3 linked regions of the Saccharomyces cerevisiae S288C genome follow. The gene in region 3 interacts genetically with the main gene of each other region. Each region holds a gene or a part of one and is shown on either strand. Other genes may lie near its edges.

Region 1 (2,873 bases), on a different chromosome or scaffold from region 3:
TTGATAGACGATAGTTGATTTTTATACCAACACTAGGAAACCACAATCCAAGATGAGATAAATATAGAGGAAAATACAAGTTTGAGTTTAGATCTGAAGTTACCTTAACATTTGTATAAGCAAATTCGCTACGCGACTCTCACATCAAAAACTGCTTCTATGGCCAAGTTGGTAAGGCGCCACACTAGTAATGTGGAGATCATCGGTTCAAATCCGATTGGAAGCATTTTTTTGAATACTGAAAAATTAAGCTGATCACCAAACTCATGTAATATATATGCTTGACTATACAAATTACAGGCTTCTTCTCATATTTTTCTGCTCTACGTTAACCTACTTTAAACAGTCCAAAAGGCTTATGTTGTCCACATGAAATGCCTAAAACAGATGGCCAATATTTAATTTTTTTCCTTACTACATTTAAATCTGTATACTACCTAAATATCCTCTTTCGCTACTGTGGGAGAAGAAGAAGAATAACTCTCAGTTTATAATCTGATCTAGGCACTCTCAGATTGCGAATTAGCTTTTACAGTAAACGCCCCATCGCTCCATTTTTTGAAAGAGTCTAGAAGTTCATCATTTTTATGTAACTCTGCTATCTCAGTATAACCACCTCTGGAAGTACCACCGATGATAACGTTTGGGACTGTTCTCCTACCAGTGACTTTTTCAATCTGGTCTTGTAGTTCTTTTGTGTGTTCGTGCCTATCCAATTCTACAACGTAGTAAGATGGAGAAAACGTGTACGAATTAGTCAACAAAGCTTTCAGTTTTTTGCTATATGGGCAGCCAGTCTTGCTAAATACAATCATGGGTGACTGTTCCATTATTTTGTTGTATTCTGCAGCGGCATCAAATTCAGCGTCCCCACTATTTTTATCAACTTCTTCGGCTTCCTTATCTTGTGTATTTACTGTATCATGGACAGATTGGTGAGTGCCAGGTGCATTTCCTGAATTGTCAAACGTCACCAATGAATCAGGATGGTGAGTAGTAATACTTTCGTTGACGCTAGCATTCGAATTCCTTAACACAAAAAACACAACAATGAGCAGTAAATTAGTTATTACCAAGACTCTCACGTTTCTTTTGTTTATAACAATAGCCATCTCTAATTTTCTTCAGTTGTTTTGCGTTTAATTTGAAAATTTTGCTTCTTTCCAATATATAGGTTTTTTCTTTTATTTGATTCGAGCTTTTTCACTGAGGGGATATGTACACATTGGCAAATATCCTGCCGAAAGTACTTCTTTATTTTTTTTCAAAACGCAGTCCCACTTACCGGTATGACGTAGTCTCGATTCTCAAATACACCCGGGACTGCATATTTATACATCTGTAGTAAAGTCATTTTATATGGATTGTGAAGGAAAAAATTTACATAACTGGAAGATAAATAAACATAACTATGTAAGGAATAGTAATAAGAATGTAGAAAACGCCAATGGAAGTTGTCCAAACTATAGTCCGACCCGTTGCATATTATTTACCGGCAATCGCCTTATCATGAGTAGATTCTAAAAATGCTAATCTATCGGTGATGTAACCACACACTCTTTTCCATTCCGTTTTATCCTGCCCTAAAAGGTCATCGAGATATTTGAAAGGATTCTTATTAACACAAACATATTCGTTTAAAACCTTGAAATTCTCTAGTTCAATATCGTAATTTTTTACCTTTTTTAAGGCCGTATATGAACGAGCAGGTTTACCATTCGTAGTCAAAAAATTGCTTTTAGATAAATCGTATGGGTCAAACTTTGGGAAGTTTGAATGGATGAACATAACATCTACATGATTCTTGGCATTTAAGTCCTCGTTGTCGAAAAATTCTTCGGTGTATTTTTCGAGGGAATAGTTTTTGTCAAACTTGATTGCATCAGCTGATTTAGTGCCACCGTATTTGTTGCCAATGCTCTCCATAGCATTTAAGTAACGGCCATAATCCTGCACAAAGTCGTGTTGTAACATTGCTACACCATGAAACCCGTCTTCATCATGGTAGCCTTCAACGCCTGTCCTTGTTCTAACTTGGTAAAATGATAGACCATAAAAGTTTGCAGCGGCAATGAAAGTTTCCTTATCACCTTCACCAGCAGCTTTTTGAGAAAATATTGGGTAGTACCACGTTGGTCCATTGACGTTGTAGAATAAAGATAGAAGAGCCGTAGCCAAATGCTTCGTTTTGTTTATCATCAGTTGGCCGGATTCCGTAGACACGTCGGGTATTGTTCCGTCTAGGTCACTTAGCGGGACGTCACTCAAATCCTTCAAATCCTTTGTGTAAACAGCAGGTGGGGTGATATCGTCTCGAGAATTGCGAACTCTCTTTTTCTTGTCCACAGCAATACCTGCAATGTCGTAATACAATGGGTGAGTTGTACGCCTCCAGAAATCGGGCCACATGACCAAGCCCGTAGACACATATGGTTCTTCATTGAATATGTTGTCTAGGGGTTTGATGGGGAAGTTGTCAGCATCCAGTAAGAGCAGGTTTTCAAAACTAGAAGCGATAAGGGCCAATGATTTAAACTGGTATCCTTTGAAAACAAATTTTTCAATCGTCTCTCGTGGTAGAATATCTGAAACGTAAATACACTTGGAGTTATACTTAGGCAGAATCTTGTTACAAAACTCAGTTTCACCTTCATCACCAGGAGGGATCAGGACTTCCACAGGTAACGTGGTCCCCATATTCCTTAAAGTCTTAATGATCAAAAATGCCATAAGGGAGAACTTCCCGCCACCCACTGTGGCTATACCGGACCCTTTGTACGTACCCTTTGGCGAGACGAGAGTCGCTATATGCTCTACGTAGTCCTTATGGCTTTTGGTCAGACTTGCTACTTCATCCGGAGATAGTTCCAAAC
Region 2 (3,276 bases), on a different chromosome or scaffold from region 3:
ATTCAAAAAGATTCCACGTGTAAAGGGATTCAAAATGAATGAGATTGTTCCGCTGCATAGTCCGTTCTTGATGGGCCACCCAATGACAAAATCTGTTTACGAAACTCCTAAGATTACAGCGGCAGAAAAGTCGTTCAAGCCACCAAAAAATAAGTACAAAGTAGTTAGAAGATGATTGTCTCCTTTACCCATTTATGTATATGTATATGTATATTGAGATTAATATATTAATATATTAATAGATTATAATAGCAGAACTATAAGAATATGATGTTTGTTCAGATCAAGTGCTAAATGACTTGTTGTATCAGCTTTTAAATTTTTACATCAAGACAAATCAATTATTCGTATTATTTCGTCTGTAGTTGAAACAGAGTTCAATAAGCCAAGAGTTTTGAAGCAGCTACAGGCAAGAGGTACCGAAACACAGAAAAAAGTAACAAGAAAACTCTCTCGCTCTATATATATGTGTGTGAATATACGCTATTTATACACATATATAGATGAGCGGCGTGCATGTATCGTAGTAACTAAGATTAATAGTTCTTAAAAGAGATAAATAAATCATTTAATTAAAAAACTGATTTTTAAGCGGAGGCACCGTAGGTTTGAAGGTATTGTTCGATCTTGCTTTTCTCTTCTGCTGTTATTCTGCCTTCCAAATAGGTAATTATGTGAATTAAGGAGACAATGCTCAAGACTGGGATACCGTATTTTTTGCTAACAGTTTGAGTGGCGCTGAGTCCTTCTTTATCGTCAGTACTCACAACTTCCTGTCTATCAAGAGCAATTATGGAGCCAACTACCTGACCCTTGGCGTTACTGATGATCTCAAAGGCCTCGTTAATGGCAGTACCAGCAGTCATGACGTCGTCGATGATTAATATTCTCTTGTTCTCTAGGGCAGAGCCGACAATGATACCACCTTCACCATGATCTTTGGCTTCCTTTCTGTTAAAAGCGTACTGAATGTTTTGAAATTTAGAGCCACCAATCTCCGCCAATTTCACACAAACAATAGCAGCAAGTGGGATACCTTTGTAGGCAGGACCGAAAATCACATCAAATTTCAAATCAGATTGTATGATGGCAATTGCATACGCAGTAGCCAAATTGGAAAGCAATTTACCAGTATTGAACAATCCCAAATTAAAGAAATATGGCGATTCTCTACCTGATTTCAACTTGAATGAACCAAATCTTAGAGCCTGGCATTCGATGGCCAACTCTAGAAAGTTCTTTTGGTAGTCTTCCAACATAATAGGCATTTTGAATAACTTTCTTAATCTTTAATTTTTTTGTGTATCCTTCATACAATGTCAGACACAATAATACGCAACCAAAATTCCGTTAGTAGTATATCGCAGAAGTAATGCTTTATGGAAATTTTGAATGAATCTTATTTGACAAATAAAAGCCTGTTAATAATAAGAAGTGTCTTTATTCAAAAAAGGAACGTAAAGTTGGAACAATGATTGAAATACCCCACAAAATTCTCCCAAAAAAAAAAAGACAAAATGCAATTTCCTTTTGAAATGTATTCAAAAAATAAATTTGTTAAAAACCTCTGATTGATGATGAGATCAAACTACCAAACAATTGTTATCAAATCAAAATGCTCTTTGTTTTGCTTATTGAATATGGAAAATGTTTGAAAAATTTTCAAGCGCTAGTCATTCGGAACGAAAGTAACTGTCATCTTGAAATCTATGGTAAAGGAGAAATAAAACATTATTCCCCAGGAATTGACAGGAAAGTAGGGCAGTTACTAATGGAAAAGGACGCATTGGAGGTTAGACTGAAGTCTATTAGACATTCGCTGGACAAGAATACCAAACTTTTACCGGGAAAATATAGGAATACTCTAGGAGAGCGACTTATTACCAAATGGAGGTACAAGAAGAAATCCCATAATGGCAGTTCAATGTTGCCTGAAAAATGTAAGAGCCACGTGCAATTGTATGATGATTTGGTACAAGAAAGCTCTAAACATTTTGTTGGTTTCCGATTACACGATCTTCGGGCCTTGTTGAAAAGAATATGCTCCATTCAAAACTACACAAGGCATGTGCTCATTGAATGGGACGTTCGATGGGTCAATCCACTGACTCTAGCATCCAAGGGCTGGGAGCCGTACCAAAGTGCATCCCAGTCGCAAGTGCCATTTAAGTGCTGTTGTTGCCATGCCATTATGACAATTCCTTTATTAAAAAATGGCGATGATGTCGCCGATTACACCATGAAATTGAATGAAAAAATCTGGAATTCCAATATAATTGGAAATCATCTCCAAAAGTGTCCGTGGAGGGAAAATCAGGTTGATTTAAACAAAGAGTATTATTTAAGCTCACAAAACCTTATAAGGGAAATTGAAAGAATTCATACAGAAATTGACAGAATTGTTTCCGGATCAAATGAATTTAGCCTTAAAAGAAACTCTTCCCGTATATTTCATTACTTGTCTGAGAAAGAAATACAAAAATTGGCATTTTTTTTCGATTGTAAAGACTATTCTCTCGTAGGTCTGTTGCTTCTCGGCTACACGAAATTCCAGAAGGATGATCTGGTTCAATGCACGGCTTGCTTTCATCGAGCATCCCTGAAGAAGTTAGAATATACAGAATTTAACGGACACGCTCTATGGTGTCGGTATTACAACAAAGAGTTGTTGCCCACAATGTTGCTGGAGTTAATCGGCAAGGAGGACAAACTAATAACGAAATTGGGCGTGGGAGAAAGACTAAATAAATTAGAGGCTGTTCTACAAACTTTATAAATTAGATGTAATACATTATCCAAATTCTCATATGCTTGTATATGCCCCCATGCTGATGCGCAGATTCTGTCACTCTCTCTTTAAATTACGTGCACATATGCATACGCAACAGTCACGTTATATTCATGCAAAAAACCGAAGCAACATCATTATTTCAGTTATTCTCTTCGACAAATTTCTTTACTTTTTCGACAACCTCTTCAATTTCCTTATCTAGCATAAGTACAATTAAACCATCGCTACTAATTTCGTATTTGATATGACCTTCGTTCGGTATACATATTTCGGCATCGAACTTATCAAACCAGGTATTTAATTCGTCCAGTTCGTCAACATTAAATGGAAGTATCAACTCGTCAACAAATTCATGCATTTTTCCCGGCTTACCTTTCAAAAATTTTTCATCTTCTTTATTTATCTTGGTGTCGTCTTCTAGTAAGACGAGCATCCTATAAGTATTACTCTTGGACATTTCGTTTTTCTCTTTCGTCTTAGTGTAG
Region 3 (4,368 bases):
TGACGCGTTGTTATAGCATTCTATGAATTTGCCTGTCATTTTCCACTTCAGAAAGGTCATCTAATTGCTCCCACCAGTTGAATAAGTAATTCTCGCAAATAATCTTAAACCAAGGCGTAAACTTGTAACTTGGGTCAGCAAACATAGTTTTCAAATCATTTGGTGAAACCCATTTGAAGTCTCTAACTTCATTGACGTTTGGGTTGACAGTCAAGTTTTCTTTAGCGTTGATCTTATAAAATAGGATGTAATCAATTTCATGTTCACCCCATGGTTCATTGCTTGGTGCCATGTAATGGATTCTGTTTAAAAAGTGAAACTTACCCCTTGTCTTAGTTTCATCTTCTGGAATACCTAATTCATGATCTAGTTTTCTCACCGCCGCAGTAATAGCGCCCTTAATCTTATCGTCTAGCTTACCCTTCAAACCTAATTCGTCATCAATACATAGTGGATGAGAGCAGCATGTGTTAGTCCAAAGATCAGGGAAAGTTATTTTTTCAGTGGCTCTTTGTTGTAAAAGTAATTCACCTTGTTCATTGAAAATAAAGACGGAGAATGCACGATGTAGTAAACCCTTTTCAATATTTTCCATTAAATGACAAACTTTCTTGGTACCGGCACCAATAGCATTATCGTCCCAATCCAAAACAATACAATTTTCATTCATTAACTTAATTTGCTCCTCATCATGACCAGAAAAACATGTTTCTCCGCTTTCGTCATTTGACGTCTCACTAGATCGGGTATTAGGTCTTTGTTGTAATGGAATAATTTCAGGAAACTCTTCCAAAATGTCTTCAGGTGTTTGGTTTTGCACTAATTTGGCGTAACTAGATACTGCACCATGGGGCATACTATTGTTGTCGGCAGTCATTGAGGTGTAATGAATTTTTGGCTTATTTTTACTCTTCCTGTATTCCAAATACGAATACTCTAATATTGAATTAAGTGGGATATACGCCTTCTTGTCACTAGAAAACTGTTTCCTGTTAAATAGATAAAAATGAATAAATAAATATAAATGGAGTTAAGACCGAAAAAGAAAGGCAACCCCCATCGACAAGAAAAGAGTTATGAATAATCATGTTTCTTAATAACAATTAAAGGGAAAAGAATCGGCTGGGCATCGTCATTGCGAAACTGTTGACTGGAAAAATTTCAATCACAATTAAGTTTTGTCCATTTCGTTCCAGCAAGAACGGAAACTTTTACCGATAGCAGCGGAAAAAAAGAAAAAAGAAAAAAAAAAGAAATTAATATAGGCAAAATAGCCGCATGAAGCCCTTAATAACCTATACTATTCTGTGACTGTTATTTATTTACCCTCGTAATATTAAAAATGTCCTATACAATTTCTGTAATAAAACCTAATTTTTTTAGGACCCTTGAGTGTTACCCTGCTCATGTTTTTATTTTTGTTTTAGAGAAATGTAAACAACAGTTTGGGAAAGTTTCAAGAATTGTAAACAACTAATCAAGGGATAATACTATTTTACTCTTTCCTTTAAACATGAAGAACTATTTTTTGTTTACGTTTTTTTCTGAATTGAACAATAAGATCTTGTTAATTTTTTTATCGCTTGATCTATTATCAGATCTTCTCTTTTGAAAAACTAGTCCTTTTCCAAATTACAAACTTTCTTTTCGTGTGGAGTTGATCAGTTCAGTTTCTCCAATACTTCTTAAGTCACTGAAAATATAACGAAAAAAAGGGCTCTGGAAGTAAACAGAGAAATTCGACGATATAATATGTCTTCCAAGCATTCAGATCCATTGGAGAGATTTTATAAGCAATTTCAAGCATTTGTTCAAAATAACCCTAATGTCATATCGGCAGCTCGAGCTGCCGCACAAATACCGGAATCTGCAAAAGCTGTTGTAGTACTATCCCCATATTCTTTACAGCATGTGTTCCCGAGAGAATGGGTAACAAAATCGTATAGGAAAACTATAGTCGAACGACCAGAAAGATTATTAGCAAGCTCGATGGGTATATCAGCTGCGATTACAATGTATCCATCCCTTTTCACCTTGAAATCCTCGCATCAAAGGAAAGGTTCATTGATGGCACCTCATGTGCTTAAAGTTCATGGCAGTAGCTGGCCGGCTGAGTTAATTGAACTTTGCCAAATGGCAGATGCTAAATTGCTAAAAGGCGAAATCGAAGTCCCAGATACTTGGAACTCAGGTGATATATACTTGAGCTCAAAGACAATTAAAGCTCTACAGGGAACAATTGGGGCCATTGAAACTGGTGTTGACTCAATTTTCAAAGGACCATCTGCAGAACATATTAGTAACAGAGCTTTTGTTGCTATACGGCCTCCTGGTCATCATTGCCACTATGGTACACCATCCGGCTTTTGTCTGTTAAACAATGCACATGTAGCCATAGAATATGCGTATGATACTTACAACGTCACGCATGTTGTCGTGCTTGATTTCGATCTACACCACGGTGATGGGACCCAAGACATTTGCTGGAAACGTGCGGGTTTCAAACCTGAGGAGGAACCTGAAGATTCATCTTATGATGATTTTGGTAAGAAATTTGCCGAATTTCCCAAAGTCGGTTATTTTTCTATGCATGATATAAATTCATTTCCAACAGAGTCGGGATTTGCCACAAAGGAGAACATTAAAAATGCATCTACCTGTATCATGAACTCTCATGACCTAAACATCTGGAATATTCACTTATCCAAATGGACAACCGAAGAAGAATTCAATGTATTATACAGGACAAAATATAGAACTTTATTTGCTAAAGCAGATGAATTTTTCAGGAGCGCAAAACTAGAAATGAATCAACAAGGGAGACCATTCAAAGGTTTGGTTGTCATAAGCGCAGGTTTCGATGCATCAGAATTTGAGCAAACTTCAATGCAAAGGCATAGTGTCAACGTTCCTACAAGTTTTTATACAACGTTCACCAAAGATGCATTGAAATTAGCACAAATGCACTGTCATGGCAAAGTTTTGTCTCTAATGGAGGGTGGATATTCTGATAAAGCTATATGTTCTGGTGTTTTCGCACATTTGATCGGTTTACAAAACCAAGATTGGGTTAAAGAATGGGGGTCTGAACAAGTCGTTAAAGAGATTGTTCGTGGTTGCAAACCGGCTTGGAAACCCTATAAGACAAAAAGAGCAAAAGATGTCATAAGAATATGGGCAGAAGAAGTTATCAGGCTGGGACGAGCAATGATACCGGAATTCGATGATATCATTTTTAAAGACGCAGTTAACAGCGCACCTTCTAATTCTCTACTAAAGGCTACTGTCGAACCAGCATCCACGTCGACAATTGCTCAAAGAATAATCAGATCTCATAGAAGCAACGCTTCCCCAGAAAAAGAACTTCATGAAAACAAGCCGAGAAGCACGGAAAAACAGGAACAAAGGGAAATTAGAAGCGATACCAAGGTCAAGCAGCTCTCGTCAAATAATAGAGCAGCTGAAACCCAAATTCCGTTTTTGCAACAAGAATTTTCCAGTGAGGATGAAGATGAAGAATACGTTTACGATGAAGAATTGAACAAAACTTTCAATCGCACGGTGGAGGATATTACCATTGATGATATTTCTAGACATTTGGAGACCTTAGAAATTGAAAAAAAAGGTGATGAAGATTCAGACCATGAGCTAAAAGAAAAAAATTGGAAAAACTCGCACCAACGCCGTCTACAAGGTAATGGAATGTATAAAATTCCCTCCAATACGAAACCGCATCGCATAAGACAGCCTCAAAACGCAAATACACCAACTTATGACGATAGTGATATATCAATGATTTCTCATGTTTCAAGAAAACATACAACAAGAAGTGGTGGAAGATGGTGATACCAATGCATATATAATGTTGTCTTGAACCCACTAAAGAAGTGACGCATATATTACTTTTTTGTATTTAGTAACACAATTTTTCTATTTTTATATTTCCTTGTATAGTTAGTAATTTTAATTTTTTTCCTTCTTTATCTCAGCTCTTCGACCATTTGGTCAAGAAGTTAGTTTTTTTCTCTTATTTTATTTGACAATATACTAATTTTATTATATGGTATTGTAAATAACATTTGAGGAATAAAAAGACAGTCACTCTATAAGCTTTATCAGCCTGACATTTTTTTATTATTACAAATATATCGTTGAAAGAAAGAAGCCTCTATACATCTCGCCCTCTTTCTATCATTAAATCAATGGAGGTTTACTGGCAACGTTATATTTCTACAATTTTAGACCATCAAACCTGAGGAATATGTATATCTACTTTCTCCCTTTCCTCTTCTTTAACTGGTTCACCACCCTGAAATATACACGCAAAGTCAGTGATGAATGGTTGAAGCATACTAATTGGAATATTTA

What was found. A genetic interaction does not mean that the proteins touch.
Region 1: of HOS3 (region 3) and GRX7, extra expression of one is lethal in a mutant of the other (dosage lethality), as found in Saccharomyces cerevisiae (one study listed by BioGRID).
Region 2: mutations in HOS3 (region 3) and PML39 impair growth when combined (synthetic growth defect), as found in Saccharomyces cerevisiae (one study listed by BioGRID).

The regions. Positions count from the first base shown.
Region 1 is NC_001134.8:266,225-269,097, forward strand, and holds GRX7 (glutathione-disulfide reductase GRX7), read right to left. Parts: upstream 1,113-2,873; coding exon 501-1,112; downstream 1-500. Other genes in the region: alpha-1,2-mannosyltransferase MNN2, read right to left, coding at 1,486-2,873.
Region 2 is NC_001145.3:54,765-58,040, reverse strand, and holds PML39 (Pml39p), read left to right. Parts: upstream 1-1,771; coding exon 1,772-2,776; downstream 2,777-3,276. Other genes in the region: RNA-binding signal recognition particle subunit SEC65, read left to right, coding at 1-175; orotate phosphoribosyltransferase URA5, read right to left, coding at 588-1,268; YML108W (uncharacterized protein), read right to left, coding at 2,931-3,248. UniProt on the Saccharomyces cerevisiae protein: Involved in the nuclear retention of improperly spliced pre-mRNAs.
Region 3 is NC_001148.4:327,854-332,221, forward strand, and holds HOS3 (histone deacetylase), read left to right. Parts: upstream 1-1,752; coding exon 1,753-3,846; downstream 3,847-4,368. Other genes in the region: isopentenyl-diphosphate delta-isomerase IDI1, read right to left, coding at 11-877; GTPase-activating protein BEM3, read right to left, coding at 4,247-4,368. UniProt on the Saccharomyces cerevisiae protein: Responsible for the deacetylation of lysine residues on the N-terminal part of the core histones (H2A, H2B, H3 and H4).